6 linked regions of the Rattus norvegicus genome follow. The protein of the gene in region 1 purifies or fractionates together with the protein of each later gene. This does not show direct contact. Links are inferred from orthologs where the notes say so. Each region holds a gene or a part of one and is shown in the gene's direction. Other genes may lie near its edges. The genes, in order: Polr3f, Polr3h, Polr3gl, Polr1c, Polr2e and Polr3b.

Region 1 (3,435 bases):
GGTGGCTATAAAATGAAAGGCAAAGGAAAATGTGCTTAAATACCATACTGTATCTGAACCAGTGTTCTTTGCCTTCCTGTGAGGTTTCTGATTTACAATATACAGCAGCAGACCATGGACAGTGCTGGCTGCAGCATAGTTGAAGACAGCCCTCACTTTAGAGACAGTCCCAAGTTGAGTGACTCTCTGCTATTTTTGCAGTTATTCGGTATATTGAAAACTGTTATAAAATATAAGTGTTGGCTGTTCAAGTTTAGTTTCTAGAAGTTTATAAAGAAATGATCTGTGCATATTCTTTCCTAGGCTTCCAAAAAGAAGGTTTACATGCTCTATAACCTGCAGCCAGACCGGTCTGTGACTGGCGGGGCCTGGTACAGTGACCAGGATTTTGAATCTGAATTTGTTGAGGTGCTTAATCAACAGTGTTTCAAATTCCTACAGAGCAAGGTGAGGTCATTAAGGAAATATCACAAGTTCTTTTAAAAAGAGATTTTGTGAAATATTGACTTGTAGATTAAAAATCCCAAAAATTGGAAATTTTTATCATATGTGCTACTGTTGGTATTACACGTAACTTTACCACTAACATGAATTTTTGCTTGAGCTTCCTCTTCTAATCTCACAGGCAGAGACTGCAAGAGAAAGTAAACAGAATCCAGTGATACAAAGAAACAGTTCATTTGCTTCATCACATGAAGTGTGGAAGTACATCTGTGAACTGGGCATCAGTAAGGTCAGAGCTTATTTCTACCCCGACTGTATGGCCTAGTCTTCCTCACAAGGCTGTAGCTGTGGTGTGTTTGACCCATCGCCCTTTCAGGTCCACATTCTGCTGAACCCACTTTGGAAAAGCATTGTTTTACAGTAGGCAGACACCATAAGTGTCTGACTCTGGAGAACTCTTCTCAATTGGGTCCTGGCAGTTCTGTTCACCCAAAGTGAAAATGTTCTAAGTTCTTGATTGTCTGATAGTTGAGTTTGTTACAGTGTTAGTATGATTTATTGATACTTTCTTACTTAGTCAAATGTAAGGGTCCCTCAGCACCCTTTTGAAGACCTTTACATAAGGACACTGATGCTTTTCATGGTCTGCAAAGAAGCCAAAGTAGCATTTGGAGAAGTCATTTTCAGTTCTGGTTCCCAGATTCTCATTGATTAAAAAATTAGGAACTCAACTTATTTCATGTCTCAAGTATCTCTCTATAGCAACATTTTGAGAATGTTCATCAAGAGCTGGAGAGATGGCTCAGCAGTTAAGAGCACTGATTGTTCTTCCAGAGGCCCTGAGTTCAATTCTCAGCAACCACATGGTGGCTCACAACCATCTGTAATGGGATCTGATGCCCTCTTCTGGTGTGTCTGAAGACAGCTACAGTGTACTCATATACATTAAATAATTTTTTTTTTAAAAAGACTGTCCAAATTCTTGTGGGTTTTGGTTGCCAAAGAAATGTCACTTCAGGGCTGGAGAGATGGCTCAGTGGTTAAGAGCACTGACTGCTCTTCAAGAGGTCCTGAGTTCAATTCCCAGCAACCACATGGTGGCTCACAACCATCTGTAATGGAATCCGATGCCCTCTTTTGGTGTGTCTGAAGACGATGATGGTGTATAGTGTACTTACATAAAATAAATAAATCTTTTAATAAATGTCACTTCATAAGCCTTCTAGGTTTTTTTCTAAAGAATGCTGACATCGTGTGAGGCTGGGCATGAAGATAGACTTCTGTCCTCAGCATGGCAGTGGTTTGTGCTCATGTGGACTGTTATTCATCCTATTTGTGCCTTCCATTGCTCTTCCATAGAGCATGGCTTTTCCACTTGACTGAGTGGCTGTGACCTCTTGCTGTTTGTAATACCTTCTCTGAAAGGAGGTTTCTTTGTCCTTTATGCATGCTTTCTATGTACCCATTTCTAGGTAGAGTTGTCCATGGAGGACATTGAAACCATCTTGAACACACTCATTTATGATGGCAAAGTGGATATGACTATCATTGCTGCCAAGGAAGGCACTGTTGGGAGCGTTGATGGACACATGAAACTGTACAGGGCAGTCAACCCAATCCTCCCACCTACAGGCTTGGTCCGGGCACCCTGTGGACTCTGTCCCGTAAGTGAAAGCTGCTTCAGTTTTACTTCTATCACTGTCTTATGCAGAGGCCATAAAGAAACAACAGGCACAGCAGGCTTCCCACCTGTGTCACATGAGCTATTTAACCCCTCCCCCAGACCCTTGATGGATTCACAGATTGATGAATAGGACTTATATTCTTTCTTGGAGCACTCAGGGTAGGGACATGCTTCTGTTCTTAGGACCAAGAACATCCTGATAATTCTACTTAGCACTCTTTGAAGATACCTAAACACAGAATATCTTCAATTTAGTAAAAATTAAATTGCCGATAAGTATAGGACTCACTTCCTTCATTCCTATGCACCTGCTGATAACCTTTTGCCCAGGTGAAAGGACAGGTGAAAGGTTCATCTTTATGCTGTGTTAATATGCCTGCAAGCCAGGCAGGGTTGTGCATACCTGCAGTCCCAGCATTTGGGAGACAGAGGCAGTTGGATCTCTGAGTTTGAAGCCTGCCTATTCTACATAGTGAATTCCATGTCAGCCAGGATTACATAATGACACCCTTTCTTAAAAAACCAAAAATCAAAGGAACCAAACAAACCAAAAATATAAAAGCTTATAGTTAACCATGACCACAAAGTAGACACTGTTACAGTGTGCTCTTCAATGTAGTCCTCATCTGTTTCAAAGAGTTTCTTTTTTTCTTTTAATACTGCTTTAAATCGGTGGGGTTTTGATATTTTAAAACTTGAATATAAACTTTTATGTTTTTTTTTTTTAAGGTTTTTGATGACTGCCATGAAGGTGGTGAAATTTCACCATCTAATTGTATTTACATGACAGAGTGGCTCGAATTTTAATAGAGCTGTGAACTTTATTTACATTTGGCAAACTGAACTTCGTGGGAAACAAATAATTCATGATGGAGTGTCAAATTACTTTGAGAGCATACTTCACAATAATGGGTACTGACTTGCTGCTATGGAAACACTTATTTATGAAGACAGAAAACAAAGGAGATTAAGTTTAATAAAGTTTAATTGGGAAGTCTCTTCTTCATTAAGTAAAATACCTTGAAGGTCTGGAAGACTAAGGAAAAGAAGCCAGCAAACCTACGTTGACCATGTACTGAGATAAAGGCTGGAGTGAGAAGATGCCCACTTGAGTTACTTAAGATCGTCATTGAAAACTCATCGGGTTTATTACCGCCATTTCTGTTTGGTTTTTCTTGGGTTTTGTTGAGAAGAAATTACAAGTGGTGCAGGCAGGACCAGCTGGTGATGGGAGTGTGTGTGCCAGCTCGGGCCTGGGTTGTAAAGTGGGTATTTCTTTTTCTACACCATCTGTTTTTCACCCCAGT
Region 2 (4,063 bases), on another chromosome or scaffold:
AAGGGAATAACATTTGAAATGTAAATAAAAATATCCAATAAAAATAAATTAAAAAAATATATAAAAAGAAAGAGTTACAAAAAAAAAAAAAGTCTCTTGTACCCCAGGGTGATCTTGAACTCACTAAGTAGCTGATCTGAATGTCTAGTTTTTCTGTCTTTTTAAAAAAGATCTTATTTTATTTATTGAACGACTGTGAGTACACTGTCACTGCCCTTAGACACACTAGAAGAGGGTATCGGATCCCATTACAGATGGTTGTGAGCCACCATGTGGTTGCTGGGAACTGAACTCAAGACCTTGGCAAGAGCAATCGATCAGTGCTCTTAACCACTGAGCCATCTCTCCAGCCCCGTTTTTTTTTTTTTTTTTTTTTTTTTTTTGTCTTTACTTTCTAAGTGCTGGAATTCAGGTGTGTTTGCCACTATGTTTGGCTGACCAAAATTTTGTGTTGGGGGGGGGGGGCGGCGGGGAAGGGAGCCGCTAAAACAAAGTCTTATTTTGTAACTCAAACTGGTCTTGAACTTGCAGTGATTATCTAGCCTCTACCTCCTCAGTGCTGGCATTACAAGTGTGAGACTGTTTGCATTCAGCTGTTTAAGGACGGAGTGTGCTGAGTTTTAGTGAGTACATACATCAATTGCACCACTTAAAATTACTGTCACCCAGAAAGGCCTGGTGACCCTTTTTTGCCCACTGTCTTGGGTACTTGTCTGGAGTAAAGACTATTTTTTTTTTAAAGATTTATTTATTTATTATATATAAGTACACTGTAGCTGTCTTCAGATACACCAGAAGAGGGCATCGGATCTCTTTACAGATGGTTGTGAGCCACCATGTGGTTGCTGGGAATTGAACTCATGACCTCTGGAAGAGCAGTCGGGTGCTCTTAACCTCTGAGCCATCTCTCCAGCCCGAGTAAAGACTATTTTGAACGTGTTATATTTGTATTTTCAAAGGATCTCTCTAGCTGCTGTGCAAAAGAAAAGACAGGCTGGAAGAGCAGAATTATCGCCTAGCAACCAGACTCGCTCAGTGGCCGGGGTTGGCTGGCTTCAGAACGAGGCCCCGCCCTCTCAGCGCTGTACCCCGCCCCTCTCCTCTCAGTAGCGGGAGAGTGCAGGCGGCTCCGCCCACCTTCAGGCTCCTCCCCTCACAGGAGCCTTGCCTAGCTCTGCGACCCGTAGGGGCGGGCAGATGCTTCTTATTGGTCAGTTCTCCGGAAGCTGAGTTCATTTGGTTTGGCTAGCGCTGCGTTGGGGCCTCCGAGCCGCTGGACGCGCGTGAATGGTGCGTGGCTTCCGCGCGTGGTGCGGAGTGGTCGGGGCGGGGATGGGACGGGGTCGGCTCTTCTCCAAGCCTGGAGGAATGGGGCCTCAGGTTCCTCCGGGAGAGGAGCGTGGCATCCGCAAGCGGGACCCCAGGCCCTGCCCTCCCGCGCGGCTCGGCTGCAGGCTTGGCTTGTTAGAATCCGAGAGGGAATGGGGGCAGCTCGGGGACCCCCAGCCCCTCACCGTTCTCAGCCCCGCGTGCTTAACAGCTTCTTTGGGTTCCAGAGCCCTAGCGCAGGATGTTCGTGCTGGTGGAGATGGTGGACACCGTGCGCATACCCCCGTGGCAGTTTGAGCGGAAACTCAACGACTCCATTGCTGAGGAGCTGAACAAGAAATTGGCCAACAAGGTACTAGGCCCTCGGGTTGCCGGGCAGTGTCCGGAACGGTCCCGCTGCTTGTCTGGCCGTCCCTTGTTTCAGCCTTGGCCTTACACACTTAACGTAACTTCATGTCAGGGTTTCTTTCCTTCCCTTCCTTATAAACCAGACTTGGATGTCAGCGTGTACCCAAGGGAGTAAATGGGCTGGACGAAGTAGTGTATACCTGTCATCCCAGCTTCTTGGGTTAATAAGGCTTGTGACGATCCTGAGTTCGAGGCCAGCGTGGGCAACATAATAAACCTGTTTCAAACAAATTAAGCATCGAAACTGCTGGTGGTAGCGCATGGCTTTAATCCCATTACTTAAGAGGCAGAGGCAGGTGGATCTCTGTGAGTTCGAGGCCAGCCTGGTCTACAGAGGGAGCTCAGCCATGGCTACACGGAGAAACAAACGTCTCAAAAAAAAAAAAAAAAAAAAAACCAAAAAACCAAAAACAAACAAACAGACAAACAAAAAACCAAAAAAACCTAAAAAAAACCAAAAACACCGGGGTGTTGAATAGTGCTTAAATTTGCTTGACATTTGAGGTTTGATTCTCCGTATTGTCGGAAAACAAAACAGAGTACGAAATGGGTTTGTAAAACGGAAACCGGAAAATGCCTGTTTCCTCCTTCAATTACTGTGCAGTCTTGGCCAGGTCACCTACTCTGGGCCTCAGTTTGTCCAAGTGGGTGAGTACAGAGGTCAGAGGATAGTGCGTGCTCTCTGGAATTGAGCTCAGCTGTCAGGTTTAGAGGTGGCTTTTTACCAGCTGACCCAGCTCATTGGCCCCTTCCTTGTATTCTTTTGGTTACTGTATTATGTCCCTTTCTGTGAATACAGACCTTCTCTGATGTAATCCTTTCATTATCCCCAGTACTTAGCCAGAGCGTGGCAGGGGAGACAGAGACTCTGCCCGTGTAGCATAGTGAGGAAGAAGAGCTGGCTTGAGAGGGTCCCCTTGTTAATGAGCCAGGGTGGATGCCATGAAGGACAGGCATTCACACAGCTGGAGAACAGAGGTGTGCCACCTGGGATGAAAGAGATTGGTGACTTCTGAGAAAACAGCACTAACCTGAGAGCTGACGGCGAGGAGAAGCCAAGAGACAGACTCTGATTTGATGGTTGGAGCAGGTTAGGTATAAAGAGTTGTGGAGACAGCGCAATTAGCATGTGCAAGGGTCCTGAGGCAGGAGGGCTGTGGCATCTAAGAAAGCACAGAGAATGCCAGTGTAGCTGGAACACAGAGGCTGGTCTAGGAACTGTAGACAGAAGCCGGACCACAGAGCCCTGGAGGGCCTTACAGTCCAAGTTGTTCTTTTCAAGTCAGTAGGAGGTGATCTGAGAGCCAGGAAGAAAGAACAGGTTTGGCTTTACATAGGAGACAGGTAGATCCTTTACAGGAGGCCGAGGCCGGAAGAAGGGGTATATCACAGACCTGAGGCTCGTCAGATGGAGGAAAAACGATGCTGACTTTCCTTTTTTGGGACAGGATCTCACTATGTAGTTTTGGTTGGCCTTTCAACCCAGAGCTGCCTGCCTCTGCCGCCTAGTGCTAGGATTAAAGGTGTGTGCCAGCTGCCCTCGCTGTTCTAGTGCTGTAAGGAAACACCATGACCAGGACAACAAGAGAAAGTGTTTTACTGGAGGCTTGCGTATGGTTTCGGAGGTTTAGTCTTTGAGCATCGTGGCAGAGGCATGTTGGCACACATGGTGCTGGAGTGGTAGCTAAGAGCTACATCCTCATCTACCAAGGGAGTCAAACCACTCCCACTGACAAGGCCACGCCTCCTAATCCTTCTGGTCTTTCTCAAGTTGTAGCCCTTCCTGATGATGTCAGCATTCAAGTGTATGGGCCTGTGGAGGTCATGCCCATTCAGTCACGGCATCCAGGGCTTCTCTCTTTGTTATTTTTTTTAATTACATGAATTTATTTTGAATGTGGTGTATAAACCACAGCACACATGAGTAGGTCATCGCACACCTCGTGAGGAGAAGGGTCCAGGACCCGGCGTCGGTTAAGATGGACGGCAGGCACCTTGACTGCTGAGCCGGTTTGCCAATAGCATCTTCCCTCTTATTTTTGAGACAGCATCTCGTGGGACTTGAACTCGCTTTAAATTTACTGTGTAACCAAGGAAGAATTGGGACTTCTGATACCTCTGCCTCCCTCTCAACTGCAGGGATTACAGGCAAGGATCACCATGCCTCGTTGAGGCCAGTTCACTCGATCCTGTGAGAGAAGCCCCCCCAGAAATCACTGCAGGGAGCTCTGCCCAACGCTGAGGTGCGCTATGCATCTCTAGTCCCTGAGCAGCTCTTGTGAGGGCTGTGACTAGGGGTAATATTGGTGGTAGATGTGCAGACACT
Region 3 (4,006 bases), on another chromosome or scaffold:
GAGTATGTGTCATCCACAAGCATTTTCTCTGACCTCTGGCATATTCATGTTGACTAACTCCTAGTTTTATCTCCATCCTGAAGTATTTCCATTTACTTCTACTCCGTGAAAGGATGACTTTTTTTTTTTCTTTTCTTTTTTTCGGAGCTGGGGACCGAACCCAGGGCCTTGCGCTTGCTAGGCAAGCGCTCTACCACTGAGCTAAATCCCCAACCCAGGATGACTCTTTCTACTCCACACCATTCCCTTGAAGGGGCTTGAAGGGCAGTGCAAAGCGCAGAAAGAAAAAAACAAAAAAGCCCACTGGATTCCCACCTTCTCTCCCCAGTGACTTCTCTGATCCCAAGAGCCTTTCCCTCCCCCACTTCTCAGACATAGCAACAATTCACAGGACTGGGCATTTGGGGCCTGACCACGGTAGCAGAGTCAAGAGTATCAAGAGTTCAAGGCCAGTCTAGACTGAGTAGCCAGAACCTGTCTTTAGGGAAAAAAAATCTTTTAAAGATTAAGTATTTGGGGGCTGGAGAGATGGCTCAGCAGTTAAGAGCACTGACTGCTCTTCCAGAGGTCCTGAGTTCAATTCCCAGCAACCACATGGTGGCTCACAACCATCTGTAATGGGATCTGATGCCCTCTTCTGTGTGTCTAAAGACAGCTACAGTGTGCTCACATATATAAAATAAATCTTTAAAAAAAAAGATTAAGTATTTATTGGTAGTGCTGAAAGAGAGGGTCGGAAAGTCACCAAAAGACTGACGCTGGGGAGTTGGGGGGGGGGGGCAAGGGAGGGGTCCTAAGCCAGTAGAGGACGCTGGAGTCTCCACTGGAGACCGCTGGAGGCGGTTGGGAGCCTCCTGGAGGGTTCTGGGAACTAACTCCAGTCTCCTGCTGGCCGAGCCGTTAACAGTTAAGCAGTCTGGTCTCTCTAACACAAGGCTACATTTCCCAGCAGCAATTCTCTTCTGGCTCAGCTACGTGCCTGGAAGTGCTCTGAGGAGCAGGTCATCTTAGCCGACTCCTGCCATCCAGAGTCGGTTCCGTCTGGGCAGAAGAGGTGAACACTGCAGCCCCAGGTCTCAGCGCGCCCTACTTGCCAAGCCTCAGTTCCGGTTAGGCTTGCTCCCACCTCCACCCCTCCTTGCCCGCCTCCGCTCTTGTTGATTGGCTAGGAAAACCCACCAATGGAGAGGTCAGGGAGGCGGGCCTAGAACGCGGGCTGGAAGAAGAAAAGCAAATTTCAAGTTGGCGGCTGCGTGGGCCCGAGTGGGGGAGGGACGGCAGGTAAGGCTTGGACCTGGTGGCTCTGACCGGGTTTGGTTCGGTACTTCCAGATTTAGTCCCTCGGCGCCAGACAGCAACGTAGTTAACGCTTTCTGTCAGCCTATTGGACTAGCCCCCTTCTGAATCCCTCCCCTTTCTTCCCGGGCTCTCACTGCTGTCTTGACTGTACACCAGAGACACAGCTTGCTGTCGTGCCTGGGGACAGATATTAAAACAGGAGAGGAATGCTCATTCTTGTAGCTCAGACTCTTCTATGGTATCAGCTTCTTCCACGTCTGTTAACATTAACCTCCTGTCAAGAGCCTGGCAGATTCTTATTACCTATCAAGTCAACTGAACCGCTCGCTACCCTCTACCCACTGCTTTTCTAGACCTCCTTGAAGAGTTTACTGATCCTCAGCCTGACAATGTCTGATTATCATTATTGAAATCTATTTAACTTTTAAAATCACATTTATTATCGGGGTGGTGGTGGTGGTGGTGGTGGCGTGCGCGCCATGGCTTGCGCAAGGAGGTCAGAGGACAACTTGAGCTAATCAATCTGTTTTCCTGGCCACCTGGCAAAGAGAGTATTTAGTATCTCATGAGGCTCACTGTCTCCCTCCATCCCTCCCATCCTTTTTACCGACAGACTCTTGCTGTGTAGCCTATACTGGCCTCCAATTTGCATTCCTCTGCTACAGTCTCCCCAGTGCTAGGATTACACGTTCTCTTTTGATGTTTCTATTCCATGAACCGAAGGTTTGATGGGACAGGTTGTGGTACTTAATACATTGTGTTCAATAAGCGTTCATCAAATGGAATTGATTTGTGGGAACCAGTTTTAAACTCCTAATATAATTAGGGAACAATAAAAGACAACATAGTATATAATTAAAGGCCTTTAAATTGGTGGTTTATTGCATTAATGTTTTATAGTTATTCTCAGACCAGAGAAGGAAATCAGCTATAAGAACCATAAGGGAGTCTTTATGACTCACAGGGTCTCTAGACTCCTGTTCAAACAGGAATTTGCTGAGCACCTACTACATCCCAGACACAGCGTTAGACAATGGGGATCATAGTGAACCCTCTGATAACATCTATCCAATAAATTGTTGTTGAGTATGTGGGAAAATATTTTTGAGACAGGTTTTTTCCTATGCAGGACAAGCAGGCTGGCCTCCAACTTATGATCCTCCTGCCTCAGCCTTCCTGGGATAACAGGCTTGTACCACTGCACCCCAAATAAACTTTTTCTTTTAAATTGAGAAGCATGAATCTTGTCTTACAAATGCTAAGCATTAATTCTACCCCTGAACCACACCCCTACTCCAGAGCCAGCATCTTTAGTAAGAGAATTCACCAGCTCTTTTCAGGCCCAGCCACTATTTTATTTTTTCTTTGTATTTGTTCAACTTAAACTTATTTATTGGGAGCCCTCAAAAGCGACATGGCGGTCCTCTTAAAGCTGGGCGTTCTCTGCAGTGGCCAAGGAGCTCGAGCTCTGTTACTCCGAAACTGGGCAGTCAGACCTGCTTTTGTGTCCACATTTCTCCAGGACCAGCCTACCCCAGGATGGCATGGCACCCAGCACATTCACCTGTCACCAAGCCACCAGTCTGGTTCCAAGGCTGCATCTCTCCACTGGACCAGTGAGAGGGTTGTCAGTGTTTTGCTCTTGGGCCTGATTCCAGCTGGGTACTTGAATCCCTGCTCTGTGGTGGACTACTCTCTGGCTGCAACCCTCACCCTGCACAGTTACTGGGGCCTTGGACAAGTGGTTTCTGCCTACGTTCATGAGGACAGTCTCAGCTTTGACCTTTGCTGGGCTTTGCTACTTCAATTACCACAATGTAGGCATCTGCAGAGCGGTTGCCATGCTGTGGAAGCTCTGACCTCTTGGTGTAGCACTTTGATTGCATGCCTCCTTGCCTCTGCTTTATCAATGCTGTTCACCTCACAATGAGGAGGGGATGAACGGTAAATCCGTTGGTGGGCAGAATGTCTTCTAATTACATGGCTATTTTCAGAATTTATTTGTTGAGGAGTTAGGTTCACTCAGTCGTGAGTCTGAGTCCTATAGTCACTGAGTCTGGACGCCAGTTCACGTGACTCATCGTGTAACTGAACATTTCATAGGCTCATGTTGCCTTTGATCACAATTTCTTAAGGAGAGCCAGCTAATTGCTGTCAGGATAAGAGTAGACTTCTCTCCTCAGACCTGGAGGGAGCACTGTTCATTCATGAGTCAGACTTTGCATGAAATTGAACAGTATTCTGTTTGGAACCTTCCACTCTTGTTCAGGTGGCCCCAGCTGTTGGTGGCTCTGTTTCTAGGGGACTTTTAATCAGGAGATGCCCTCAGTTACTGACGTTTTAAGTCTTAGGAAGGAAATCAAGGAAAGTTAGATTTTGGGAAGTTCAATTTAGGGAGTTCTCCTTTGTAGGTGGGTTCAAATATGACAGATTGCAAACAGACTTACTCTTCAAATGTATCTCAGTTATGCACGAATGAGCTGTCCAAAAAATGTAAGACTAAGTAATAAACTGTCTTCCCACCGTGGGAGTTGCTAATGAGAAAGTGTACACTGAAAAGGCAAAATTTTTAAATAAAATATTATATAATGAGAAAAAACCGTATTTATTGTTAGTGGGCCTGGGTGGAGTGTGTGCCCTGGTGCATAGGTCAGAGGAAGGTAGTGAATTCTACAGGCTGGCCCCAAACTCACTGTGGAGCCAAAGA
Region 4 (4,019 bases), on another chromosome or scaffold:
CTCTTCCCTGCCTGCCACATCTGAAAGGAGATGGGTATTATGAAAAACTCCTGGCTCTAGACGGTTACCCGGCCTCCGCTTGATTTCTGTGTATGTAGGTCTAAGTGGAAAAAGTGTATCAACCTAGGACACACACAGGTCTTCCTTTCCATTGGCTTACCTGATCTGCTACCTGCCGGCTCAGTTGTCCCTTAAAGCCTTTCATGCCGAGAAACTCCCCGTCCTCTTCTTCTGCAGCAGCTGCATCAGCATCTACCTCTTCCTCACGCAGGCGCTGATGTAGTTCACCCATGTCCTCGAAGCTGGAGCCTGAGGTATCGTCCATGTTCTCCATATCAATCACAGCCGAGCCCCCACCCTGTGAAGACAATGGCTCCTAGTGTGAGGGGCCCTTCCGTTGCATCCTTTGGTTCTCCCCTCATCTGACAGTTTGAGGCTTTGCTCTTCCACTGACGAGGATATGGCTTGGAACTGCTACCCACTGTGTTATACATAACCTTTCACTGCTGGCAACTCTTGGTGGCGACACTTGTAGTTCGCCCTCCCCCCCCCGCCCCTCCCAAAGCTCCAAAGAGTTGCAAAGAAGCCCATCTGCCTTTCCCAACTCTCAAACAAGCCTATTTTAGGAAGTGCCGAAATTCTATCCTGTAGTCCCATACTATGCCTGATCCAGGCAGATCCCCCAACCCGTCTGCAAAGCCCCGGGCAGGTACAGAGACTCGAACCTTAATCTAGCCCTTTCACGCCAGCACAAGCTCTACACACTTTCGCGTGGAAGACTGAAAGAGGACAGGCAGTGTGGCAATAGAGCCGACTTCCACGCCGCGAGAAAAAATAGCAACCACACTCGGCCGCCAGCCCGGGGAGTTGCTGGCAGCAAGAGCTCTCAATACCTGGATGTTTTCTTCGAAGCCTCCCCATTCCGGGCCAGCACCATTTCGGACGCCGCTGGCCGGCGCCGCCTGAGTCGCCATGTCCCTCGAGGCTTCCCGTCGCTGAAGCTAGCGCTCGTGGGAATAGTGTGAGACCTGGGCCCGAGGGAAGGAAAGGTTCAGAGGAGCGACTAGGCGAGGTAGGACCAGCCGGAACGCAAAAGTGAGAAACCCGGATGTTTGGCCCCAATTGACGTCCGGAAGTGAAGGACGTGGACAGAGGCGGGACAAGATATCGCGACAGTGAAGATTGCCGGAGACGGAACGTTGCCGCGGAGACGGAGGCGGGCCGCTAGCACGCACGCGCTAACTTGGAGCCTCCTCTCACGGCTGATGGTGGAAGATGGCGGCTGCTCAGGCGGTGGAGGAAATGCGGACTCGCGTGGTTCTGGGAGAGTTTGGGGTTCGCAATGTAAGAGATCGGACCGCGGGAGTGATGGGGGAGGCACGGGAGAGAGGAGGCCTGGTGTATGGCCTGGCCTCACTGCCCTTTCTGTTGGCTCTAGGTCCACACCACTGACTTTCCCGGTAACTACTCCGGTTATGATGATGCCTGGGACCAGGACCGGTTCGAGAAGGTGGGTAGGGCTGGAAGTGTCCAGACGGTTTGAGGGGCCAGACCTCACAGGTTGGGTTGGGGATCTCTGTTTTCATGAAACATGAAAACATGTTTCCCGATCCATGGACGGGCCGTCAGACACCGCTCCTGTTTGTGGAATAAATTGTTTGCTCTCGGTGGGGTAATGGGCCACAAACAAGTTATTTCAGTATAATAAAATAGCGATGAAGATGGCTGGGATGGGGTAGGAATCATTGATGCACTTAATCCAGCCAATTGAAGGGACGTAGTTAGGGAGTGACATTTGAATTAAGCTTTGAACTATGAATAAAAGTTGAGCGGTGAAGGCCTAATTCGAGTTTCATTATAAACGCTTGTATAAGGTTTGCTCTTAGTCAGCTGCAGCAGCTCATTTTTGTCAGAATGTAAGTCCACCAGCATGAGCAGTAGATAAGATTGGAATGCATTTTAGACTCTGTAGGTGATAGATTTTTATTTTTATGTCTTTTTGAAACAGGGTTCCATGGCTGCCCTGGCACCCCCTCTGTAGACCAGGCCGGACTCAAACTCAGATTGGTCCACCTGCCTCTGCCTCCCGTGCACAGGATTAAAGGCATGAGCCACCATGCCCCGTTAGAATTTTTCAGTAGACTGATAAAATTTTGCAGTCTTGATAGCTGGGAAGGAATGAATCTGGCGAATCTGCCAGCTAGTGTATGGAGGCTGAAATTGGGGGCATGGATGAACTGCAGATGGTGGTAATGGAGTGAGAGTAGTAACTAGCTGATGCAGACCATTGCTGTGGTGAGGGCAGTGTGAGAAAGGACCTTGTGGCTTGAGGAACGGATAACCTTTTCTTGGTATGTATGTTTGCCTGCATGTGTATTTGTGCACCACTGCTCCCAGCAGTGTGAGGAGGTCCCACTGGGTGCTGGGAACCAAATCCATTCTTCTGCAAGAGCAGTAAGTGCTCTTAACTGCCGAGTGGTTTCTCCAGCCACACTGGGGAACTGTGTTGCTGGCTGTGTCATTTGCTAAGCGGGAGGACCAGGGCGATGGCACAGTTGTTTGCGAAGTCTACCGGTCGAGTGGTGATGCTTGAAGTCAGACCAAGGTCAGGAGCTGCTATGCCCTTGCTTGAGTCAGCAGCATGAAGGTCACCCAGGGGATTTAGAACCTGGGAGAAAGTAACGTTTACTGGGTGGAAGAGAAAATTTAGATAAGGAAAAGTAGATATTAAAAAATGCAAGTATCAAATGGTTTAAATAGGTGGGAAGTTCTGCTTTTTGTACAGTAGCTTTGCTGGGTGGTCTGTGGACTATCTGAGAAGCCAGGCATAGTGGCACACACCTTTAATCCCAGCACTCAAGAAGCAGAGGCAGGGGGTTGGGGATTTAGCTCAGTGGTAGAGCACTTGCCTAGCAAGCGCAAGGCCCTGGGTTCGGTCCCCAGCTCCGAAAAAAAAGAAAAAAGAAGAAAGAAAAAAAGAAGCAGAGGCAGGTGGATCTTTGAGTTTGAGGCCAGCCTAGTCTACAGAGTGAGTTCTAGGACAGCCAGGGCTACAGAAAAACCCTGTCTTGAAAAACATAAACAAGGAACAGTACACTGCCCTCCCAGTGGGACTAGAGACAAAATGTCTACTGATGATCTTGGGGGATAGTGCCAGGGTAGACTGGGTTCACACAAGAGGAACAGGTTTCCCACCCACTGGGCTTTCTCTACCCCTCTAGAACTTCCGTGTGGACGTGGTGCATATGGACGAGAGCACACTGGAGTTCGACATGGTGGGGATTGATGCTGCCATTGCCAATGCCTTCCGGAGGATTCTGTTAGCTGAGGTATTAGAAGTCGCGGGCTGGAGTGTGGAAACTGTCACCCCATCTGTAGACTACCGGGCGGGTGGGGCGGTTTACACCTATAATATGAACACTTCAGAGGGCAGTCCGAACTACACAGTAAACCTTGTATCAAATCTGAAGGGCAAAACTAAGAAGGGCTGCCCCTCGTTTTTCCAGGTAGGGGATGGGTGGAGGTCAGGTAGATCATTTTGCTTCCTTGGGCAGGTGCCAACAATGGCTGTGGAAAAGGTTTTGGTGTATAACAACACATCCATCGTCCAGGATGAGATCCTTGCTCACCGCCTGGGGCTTATCCCCATTCTTGCTGATCCACGTCTCTTTGAATATCGGAACCCAGGTAAGGCTGAGAGGTTGAGATTATGAGTTAGGCAGAACTGTCCTGGAATCTGTCATGGGCTCAGATCCCAGGCCTAATTAACTGTGATCTTAGTTGGCTCTTGTACATGGGCCTTCGCCTGTGAGAACGTTCTCTTGCCCCTGCCTTTAATCCCTCACTCTTAGCACAGTGCCAGCAGCGCTCAGAGGCTCTTTCCACCTTTACATGGTTTCTAGGGATTGAAGTTGGGTCTGTAGGTTTAAGCAAGCATGCACCCTCTGAGGCTTCTTGTCAGCCCGTTACTAGAGCTAGTAGGGCCAGGCAGGCATGGTGGTGTACATCTTTACTCCCAA
Region 5 (4,148 bases), on another chromosome or scaffold:
GAGAGGGAGAGGGTAGAGGGAGAGAGAGAGAAACACAGGCTCCATCCCAGAACTCAGAGATCTACCCACTTTGCCTCCAGAGTGGTGCTAGAATCAAATGCCTCTCTCTCTCTCTCTCTCTCTCTCTCTCTCTCTATATATATATATATATATATATATATATATATATATATATATATATATATATATATATATATACATATACACTGTCACTGTCTTTGGACACACCAGAAGAGGGCATCGGATCTCTTTACAGATGGTTGTGAGCCACCATGTGGTTGCTGGGAATTGAACTCAGGACCTCTGGAAGAGCAGTCAGTGCTCTTAACCACTTAGCCATCTCTCCAGCCCCTCAAACTCTCTCATTCCCCATGCCCACATCCCCTTACTTTGCACCCACAGCTCTTAGCCAACTGTAGCAACCACAGCCCCTCAGCCCTGGTCTACAGGGCATATGGTGGGTTCAGTGATCGGTGCCCTTGGCCAAAACTTGTCTTTCCAAGTCAGGATCAGCCTAAGTTTCCATACCAGAACCGGTCATGATCTGTAGACCTCAGTCAGACTCACATCAGGACAGAATGGAGGGTACAGTCCGCATCTAGATTTCCAACGACAGCCCTTGCCAGTTGCGATGGTACAAGCTTTCAATCCCAGCACTGCGGAGGCAGAGGCAGGGCATGCTCTGCGCTGTTGAGACCTGGTTTACATTCTAACTTTCAAGGCAGCACGAGTAGCCCACCACATACACACTTGTTTGTCGATTGTCTATATGCCTATATGTCCATTTTTTCCTTCTAGTTTTTAGGATTTTAATCATGTGTGTGGGTCTGCATGTGGGTTTAGACATACCCAGAGGCCAGAGGCCCCAGATCCTCTGGAGCTGGAGTTACAGATGGCTGGGGGCGCTGGAATCCGATTTCTCATACAAAGTGCAAATATATTAATAAAAACTTATATAAAAAGGGAAACTGAGGCACATGAACCTGGCTTTTCATCATCGGGCTCCCCCTTTCTTTCTTTCCTTTTCTTTTTCGAGACAGGATGTCCCTGGCTATAGACCAGGCTCGCCTCAAACTCATCGACTGCTTGCCTCGGTCCGGGATTAAAGGCGTGAACTACAGCCAAGTTTTCTTTTGCAAACGCCTAGTGGGAAAATACTAAGGCAGGTCAAGTATCGCGCGATCTTCCCGTGTGCGATCTCGCGCAGACACCGCCGCGGTAAATGCTGGGATTGCCCACCGCTCAACCTATCCTGGAAAGTTGGTGTATTCCGGCGATCACCTAAACCAAACCTGGGCGGGGCCTTCTCCGCATTCCGCGCAGGCGCACTGTGCTGGGGGCGTGCACTTTATGCTGTCCCGCGCAGGCTCAGTCCTGGTAGGTCTACGAGCGCGCGTGCAGAGTTGTTTGTGAAGTGCGACAACATGGACGACGAGGAGGAAACGTATCGGCTGTGGAAGATCCGCAAGACTATCATGCAGGCGAGTTGCATGGGGAGGTTTTGAGCGAGCGCTGAGCTGTGGACTAACTGCGGTTGTCTGTCCGCTCAGCCCAGCCTCCAATGGGGGCTAATCCTCTTGCTTCAGCCTCCCAGGTAATAGGATGCATCCCCTCTTAAAGTGTGGAGTCCACCCACCTCAGTTGTTGGCAATCCTCCTGCTTCAGCCTCCTCCCCCTGCCCCAGAGGAAAAGTCCTAGCTGGACTCTCTGCTTCGGAAACGGGATACATGGCTGCTACACGGTCACACCTGGTTTACGGGGTGTTGGGAACGAATGGTTTCCTCAGTACTAGGGAGCCTCACCATCGACACCCACATGGTAGTTCACAACCATCTGTAACCCCAGTTCCAGGGCATCTGTGGCCCTTTTCTGGTCTCTTGGACACACGTAGGATTAAAAGAAGCTATTTAAAAAAATAAAACAAGCCGGCATGACGGCGCACGCCTTTAATCCCAGCACTCTGGAGTTAGAAAGAGGCGGATCTCTGAGTTAGAGGTCAGCCTGGTCTACATGGTAATTTCCCGGATAGACAGGGTCACATTCACGCAGAGAAACCCTGTCTGGAAAGAAAAGGGAAAAAAGGAAGACATTTTGGTTGTTCGAGTTGAGTAGATAAGACCCCAGTGGAGAAAGAGGTATTAATAGTTTTAATTTATGCTGTGTTGGGTGGAGCCCAGGACCTGATCTAGGCCTCCTCAGGCCTGTTCTCAGCCCTCATTAGGAGGGTCCAAGACAGGAAGGTTGCCAGGTCATTGACCCCAGCCTTCTCTGGTGAGGCTGGAGGGAAGGGAGGAGGCTTGGCTGGGGCCTCTGTAGTCTCAGCCTATGCAGAATTTGGGTACTGCGGGTCAGTCAGTGTTAGTCCCCAGCTGTCCTCTAGCTGAGTACTCTTCTCTCTCTACAGCTGTGTCATGACCGAGGCTACCTGGTGACCCAGGATGAGCTGGACCAGACACTTGAAGAGTTCAAGGCACAGTTTGGGGACAAGCCCAGCGAAGGACGGCCGAGGCGCACAGACCTCACCGTGCTGGTGGCCCACAACGATGATCCCACAGACCAGATGTTTGTCTTCTTCCCAGGTGAGGGTCCTTGGGCTGGCAGTAGTGGCATCCTCTGGGGGCCTCCAGTTCTGGTGGCAGCTGCCTGCTTTGTCCCTGTCTTCCCCTGGGAAGCTTCCATTTCACCGGTGTCCTTTTTGCCCCTGAGTCCGCAGACCAGTGCTCAGTCCCCCTGCTCCTGTTGCTGTAGTCTACAGTTGCTGTCTGAGGCCCAGGCGGCTCTCGGAGGTTTGTGGTGCTCTGCAGCTCCTCCAGTCTCCGCAGGCAGCTTGTTTCCTTTAATACCTGATGTTGATGCCTGGGGCCTGGGGTTTTAGTGTGAGAATTGGGGGTGCAGGGATGGGCATGGTAGCATGTGTTTATAAATCCAGGAGGCGGAGGCAGGCAGCCGAGGCCAGCCTGGGCTACACAGTGACTTCTAGGACAGCCAGAACTATGTAAGGCAGTGGCTGTCAGCCTTCCCGACAATGGGACTCTCCATGTTGTGGTGACCTACAGCCATAAAATTTTCATTGCTGCTTCCTAACTAATTTTGCCACTGTTATCATAATGTAAAAAGGTGTGTAGAGTCTGGATAAGGTCCGATAATTTGCAGACTAGGTGACTAGGTGACCTGGACCTGCTCTTGTGCTCTGCGTCCTAATGCTCCAGTAAACCCCACTCTGCCTGAGGAGAGAAGGCTTAGCCCCATGTTAGACACAGGGTCCACCTCCTGGTCAGACAGTTTCTCCTTGAGGCTGCCCAAGCTGACAATACCATATTCCACAAATCTCAGAGCTGCTGAGAATTTCACCCCCTGGATCAGGAGGGGCGGACAGTGCAGCTTTCTTCCGCCATGGCTGCCCCGTGATAGCCCCACCGCGGCTGGCTTTGCGTTCTGGTCTTCCTTTGTGAGTGGAGAAGCTAAGTCCACAGGCAGCAGGACATCAGGGACTCTAGTGGTGGGTGTGAGGGTCACACTTGTGTGCCTGCAGAGGAGCCCAAGGTGGGCATCAAGACCATCAAGGTGTACTGCCAGCGCATGCAGGAGGAGAACATCACACGGGCGCTGATCGTGGTGCAGCAGGGCATGACACCCTCCGCCAAGCAGTCCCTGGTAGACATGGCCCCTAAGTACGTGCTAGAACAGTTTCTACAGCAGGAGCTGCTCATCAATATCACAGAACATGAGGTGCGTGTGTCCCAGGGAAGGTCTGGGTGGCATGGCGTGGTCTGGACAGGATACGGGAGGGCCCTGGATCTTCCCAGTCTCAGGCCGTGCCATTCATAAGCTGGGCAGGGTCGTTCCCCAGTTTTAGTGCAGTGGCCTTGAGCATCCAACTTGGTGATATTAGTAGCCTGGTTGTGTCCTCTGTCCCAGCCCTGTGGCAGTACCCATTAGCCTGTTGAGTCTGTCGGTTTCTGATGGCCGCGGGTGGGTCTCTGTTTCCACAGCTAGTCCCTGAGCACGTGGTCATGACCAAGGAGGAGGTGACGGAACTGCTGGCGCGATAGTATCCTTTTTTTTTTTTTTTTTTTTTTACGTGTGAGGCTATATGCCCATATGCACAAAGTAGCCTCTTTTTTTTTTTTTTTTTTAAGATTTATTTT
Region 6 (3,500 bases), on another chromosome or scaffold:
ACTCTCAGGCTCTCTCTCTACTGTTGTCCTTGCGGCGATATAATGTTACTTATGTATTTTCTTACTTCCCAGAGACAGGGTTCTATGCGGCCCAGGCTAGATTTGAATTGATAATCGATATCACGGAGGCTGATTCTAAACTGGTTCTGCTTCTGCCTCGTAACTGCTAGGGTTATATAGGCCTGGGCCATCACAGCTGGCTTAAAGGTTGAGAACAAACCAATGAAGAAGGTTGCTGAGTACACATCCAGGAGTTGGGGTGATTGAGTAGGGGAGGGTTTCCTGATTTCTAGAGGAGATTAAAAAGTGTTTGTGGCAGCGAGTTTTCTACAAGGACTGTGCATTCCTTCTGTTTCTAAGACAGGAATTTCATTGCGCACAGAGGGGAAACTTTGAAATATGGGAGCAGGAATTTGAAAAGCTAGATTAGTGCATAGGATGGCTGTGACAAAGTACCACAGCTTGATAGTGTGAAAAACCAGATGTTTAATTCCCCACCTTTCTGAAGGCTGGAAATCCAAGATGAAGCTTACAGAAGTCTGGGAAAGATTCCAGCGCGTGCCTCTTCCCCAACACCTGCTGCTTTACTGACAGCCTTTGACTTACAGGGGCATCACGCTGAAATCTGTATTCATCTTTACCTCACAGTGTCCCTTTATGTATCTGTCCAAATTCCCCCTTGTTATGTGGGTGCCAGCCATGTTGAAGTAGAGTTTACCTACTGACCTCTTCTGCAGCCCCGCAGGCCACATGGAAGCCAGTGTAGGAATTTAGTCTAGCTTGTAATTTTGGTCTTCATCCTCTTTTTCTTTTTCTGCTCAACGAGATACAATGGAACACAGTATTGCACAGATACTGAGTGTCGCTTGCTTTGGCTCTGATAGTTGCAGATAAGGGAAACAACTGTTATCCAGTGTACACTCTAGAACATTTCCATCACTCAAAAAAAGTTCTCTTACAACCTTTTCACACACACACACACACACACACACACACACACACACACACACACACACCCAGCACCCAAATACTCTTGCTTTCTATTATCACAGACTGGCTTGCCTGTTTTCTGGGCTTCCCCACATCCTCGTCCTCATTTCTAGATGTTAGAAATATCCATCATCCCCCCCCCCCTCATTTTTTGAGTCAGGATCTCACTGTGTAGCACTGGGTGTCTTGGAACCGGGCTGGCCTTGAACTCACAGAGATCTGCCTCTCAAGTGCTGGGCTTAAAGGTGTGCACCACTGTGTTCAGCTTTTCTCATTTCGTGCAACTTGTTTTCCATTGCTCCTAGGCAATCTCATTGTCCCTTGGCTTTAGTAACTGCTCCATAATTTATACCCCAGGGCACTCTTTTTCTAAGTTCCAGACATCTACTGCCCGTTAGACATTTCTACCTGAATGTCTAACTGGTATCTCAGACCCTTGAAAACCCGTTGCTCCTACGCCTGGCCCCATCCCCTCATTTCTGTCAATGTTGTCTCTATGCCTCTGTTTCCTCAGACCAGAAACCCTGGTGTTAATTTTAACTTCACTTTTTTCCAGGGAGCCATCTAGTCTGTTGTTTTACTGGCTTTGCTCAAGCACTTGCCTGCTAGCTAAATGACTTCCCACTTCCTACCTGTACTGTTACCGCCTGGGCTGCTGTGATCAGCTAAGCGACTGCCTGCTTCCAGCCTTGCGCATGCCCACCCAGCATCCAGAGCGATCCAGTTGATACACACAGAGATAGTACATCACCCTCCACTCAGAACTTTCCAGTGCTGCTCAGGTCCCTCAAGTGAAAGCCAGTTTTTGTTCTGCTTATTTTTGTTGTTGTGCTTATTTATTTTATGTATATAAATACTCTTATCTGCATATATACTTGCCTGCCAGAAGAGGACTTCAGAAGATGGTTGTGAGCCACCTTGTGATTGCTGGAAATTGAACTCGGGACTTGATTGCTAGGAACTGAACTCCGGTCTTTTGGAAGAGCAGCCAGTGCTCTTAACTGCTGAGCCATCTCTCCAGCCCCTAAAGCCTTTTTTTGTTGTTGTTGTTTTTTTTTTTTTTAATGTTTGCTACAAAGCTGTGGGTTGTCCATAAACCTTTCCTTAGGAACAGGATATTCTGACTTTAGACTCAGCTGTACCCAGCTGTTCGGGCTCCCTTAGCAGATGGGATAAGTGAAAAGAGGCAGTCCCCAGATATAGTGATCTTCAAGTTAAGTCCCCAAACTCGAGTGGAGTGGCAGTTAGCAGTCTGTCAGTGGAGGAGCAAATACCCACATGTGCTGACCCCCGGAAGCCTTGAGGTAGCCTGAGGCTCTGGTTCAGAATGAACTCAGACTTACAGATCTCTTTTCAAGCTATGATCCTCCCTTCAGCCATGAGAATAAATTTGAAAGGTGTTTGGAATCTTGTCATCCAGAAGAGGTTTTATTATGGAAAACCTGTGGTATATATATATGTGGTTATACACATGTACACCACAGAAACCTGATGTTTATAATAGCAATTATATTATAAAATATTCCCTGTTTGGTTTGCTTCTTTCTAAACTTAAACTTGGCATACCACAGTAATTGTGTTTTGTGGTTACTACACTTGTTCTCATGTTCTTATTGTTTGGTCCACAGGAAAAATGGAGGCTGCTTCCAGCATTTTTAAAGGTAATTGTTTGATATTTAATAATAGTTATTTTTCACGTAATAAGTCACTAGATGGTCCTTTACATTTTGTTTTTAATTAAATACGTTATTAATCTTGCCCTCACTTGTATTTGAGAAACATGGATGGTTGGTTACCTGTGGCCACAGTGACTTGTGTAACCTGTTACTTTGTTGCTGTCTTTTGTTCTTTCTCTGTTTAGGTAAAAGGCCTGGTGAAACAGCACATCGACTCCTTTAACTATTTCATTAATGTAGAGGTGAGTATTCAGGGTTAAAACCAGATGTAAATTGAGGACCAGTCGGAAGCAAGAGCTCTGTTTCTCATTCTGCACTTTCTACTACAGATAAAGAAGATAATGAAAGCCAACGAAAAGGTTACAAGCGATGCTGATCCCATGTGGTACTTAAAGTAAGAAACAACTGCTCTTAAATAACATTCTCATTGATTTTAAATACTGGAGAACTTGCTGTCAAATCTCTTCTAACACCACTATTTTATGTATTTAGTAAACTAATTGTATGTTTTGTTTTTTTTTTTTTTTTTTGGTTCTTTTTTTCGGAGCTGGGGACTGAACCCAGGTCCTTGCGCTTCCTAGGCAAGCGCTCTACCACTGAGCTAAATCCCCAACCCCAGTAAACTAATTGTAAAGTGCTCATATTTGACTTTTAATTGTAAATCATTGTAAGAGTTAATTGAAAAGTTACTAAAACTGTTGGTTTAATTCTTTTAAGTAAGCCTTTAATGAGTTTTATATATAATTAATAATGATAAAAACATTCAGGATTTGTAGCACAGCCTATGTTACTACATTATATAGAACCTGAGGAACCAGAAGTCATCGGAACCAG

The links.
Region 2: the proteins of Polr3f (region 1) and Polr3h purify together in Homo sapiens (affinity purification with mass spectrometry; 4 studies listed by BioGRID and IntAct, with this or other methods). This does not show direct contact. The link is inferred for Rattus norvegicus from reciprocal best matches to the Homo sapiens genes POLR3F and POLR3H.
Region 3: the proteins of Polr3f (region 1) and Polr3gl purify together in Homo sapiens (co-immunoprecipitation; 5 studies listed by BioGRID and IntAct, counting the BioPlex papers as one, with this or other methods). This does not show direct contact. The link is inferred for Rattus norvegicus from reciprocal best matches to the Homo sapiens genes POLR3F and POLR3GL.
Region 4: the proteins of Polr3f (region 1) and Polr1c purify together in Homo sapiens (affinity purification with mass spectrometry; 4 studies listed by BioGRID and IntAct, counting the BioPlex papers as one, with this or other methods). This does not show direct contact. The link is inferred for Rattus norvegicus from reciprocal best matches to the Homo sapiens genes POLR3F and POLR1C.
Region 5: the proteins of Polr3f (region 1) and Polr2e purify together in Homo sapiens (affinity purification with mass spectrometry; 4 studies listed by BioGRID and IntAct, counting the BioPlex papers as one, with this or other methods). This does not show direct contact. The link is inferred for Rattus norvegicus from reciprocal best matches to the Homo sapiens genes POLR3F and POLR2E.
Region 6: the proteins of Polr3f (region 1) and Polr3b fractionate together in Homo sapiens (co-fractionation; 4 studies listed by BioGRID and IntAct, with this or other methods). This does not show direct contact. The link is inferred for Rattus norvegicus from reciprocal best matches to the Homo sapiens genes POLR3F and POLR3B.

What each region holds. Positions count from the first base shown.
Region 1 is NC_086021.1:152,371,798-152,375,232, forward strand, and holds part of Polr3f (DNA-directed RNA polymerase III subunit RPC6), read left to right. Parts: intron 1-303; coding exon 304-447; intron 448-625; coding exon 626-733; intron 734-1,916; coding exon 1,917-2,108; intron 2,109-2,857; coding exon 2,858-2,935; 3' UTR 2,936-3,435. UniProt on the Homo sapiens protein: DNA-dependent RNA polymerase catalyzes the transcription of DNA into RNA using the four ribonucleoside triphosphates as substrates.
Region 2 is NC_086025.1:115,317,082-115,321,144, reverse strand, and holds the start of Polr3h (DNA-directed RNA polymerase III subunit RPC8), read left to right. Parts: upstream 1-1,263; 5' UTR 1,264-1,290; intron 1,291-1,556; 5' UTR 1,557-1,570; coding exon 1,571-1,681; intron 1,682-4,063.
Region 3 is NC_086020.1:186,815,170-186,819,175, reverse strand, and holds the start of Polr3gl (DNA-directed RNA polymerase III subunit RPC7-like), read left to right. Parts: upstream 1-1,206; 5' UTR 1,207-1,281; intron 1,282-4,006. UniProt on the Homo sapiens protein: DNA-dependent RNA polymerase catalyzes the transcription of DNA into RNA using the four ribonucleoside triphosphates as substrates. Specific peripheric component of RNA polymerase III which synthesizes small RNAs, such as 5S rRNA and tRNAs.
Region 4 is NC_086027.1:22,232,099-22,236,117, forward strand, and holds the start of Polr1c (DNA-directed RNA polymerases I and III subunit RPAC1), read left to right. Parts: upstream 1-1,219; 5' UTR 1,220-1,275; coding exon 1,276-1,344; intron 1,345-1,438; coding exon 1,439-1,510; intron 1,511-3,221; coding exon 3,222-3,329; intron 3,330-3,554; coding exon 3,555-3,687; intron 3,688-4,019. Other genes in the region: protein YIPF3, read right to left, coding at 1-20, 161-358, 894-974. UniProt on the Homo sapiens protein: DNA-dependent RNA polymerase catalyzes the transcription of DNA into RNA using the four ribonucleoside triphosphates as substrates.
Region 5 is NC_086025.1:10,316,010-10,320,157, forward strand, and holds the start of Polr2e (DNA-directed RNA polymerases I, II, and III subunit RPABC1), read left to right. Parts: upstream 1-1,348; 5' UTR 1,349-1,424; coding exon 1,425-1,481; exon of another isoform or gene 1,482-1,561; coding exon of another isoform or gene 1,562-1,594; intron 1,595-2,404; coding exon 2,405-2,579; intron 2,580-3,532; coding exon 3,533-3,729; intron 3,730-3,992; coding exon 3,993-4,051; intron 4,052-4,148. UniProt on the Homo sapiens protein: DNA-dependent RNA polymerase catalyzes the transcription of DNA into RNA using the four ribonucleoside triphosphates as substrates.
Region 6 is NC_086025.1:21,023,634-21,027,133, reverse strand, and holds part of Polr3b (DNA-directed RNA polymerase III subunit RPC2), read left to right. Parts: intron 1-2,618; coding exon 2,619-2,651; intron 2,652-2,851; coding exon 2,852-2,908; intron 2,909-2,995; coding exon 2,996-3,060; intron 3,061-3,500. UniProt on the Homo sapiens protein: Catalytic core component of RNA polymerase III (Pol III), a DNA-dependent RNA polymerase which synthesizes small non-coding RNAs using the four ribonucleoside triphosphates as substrates.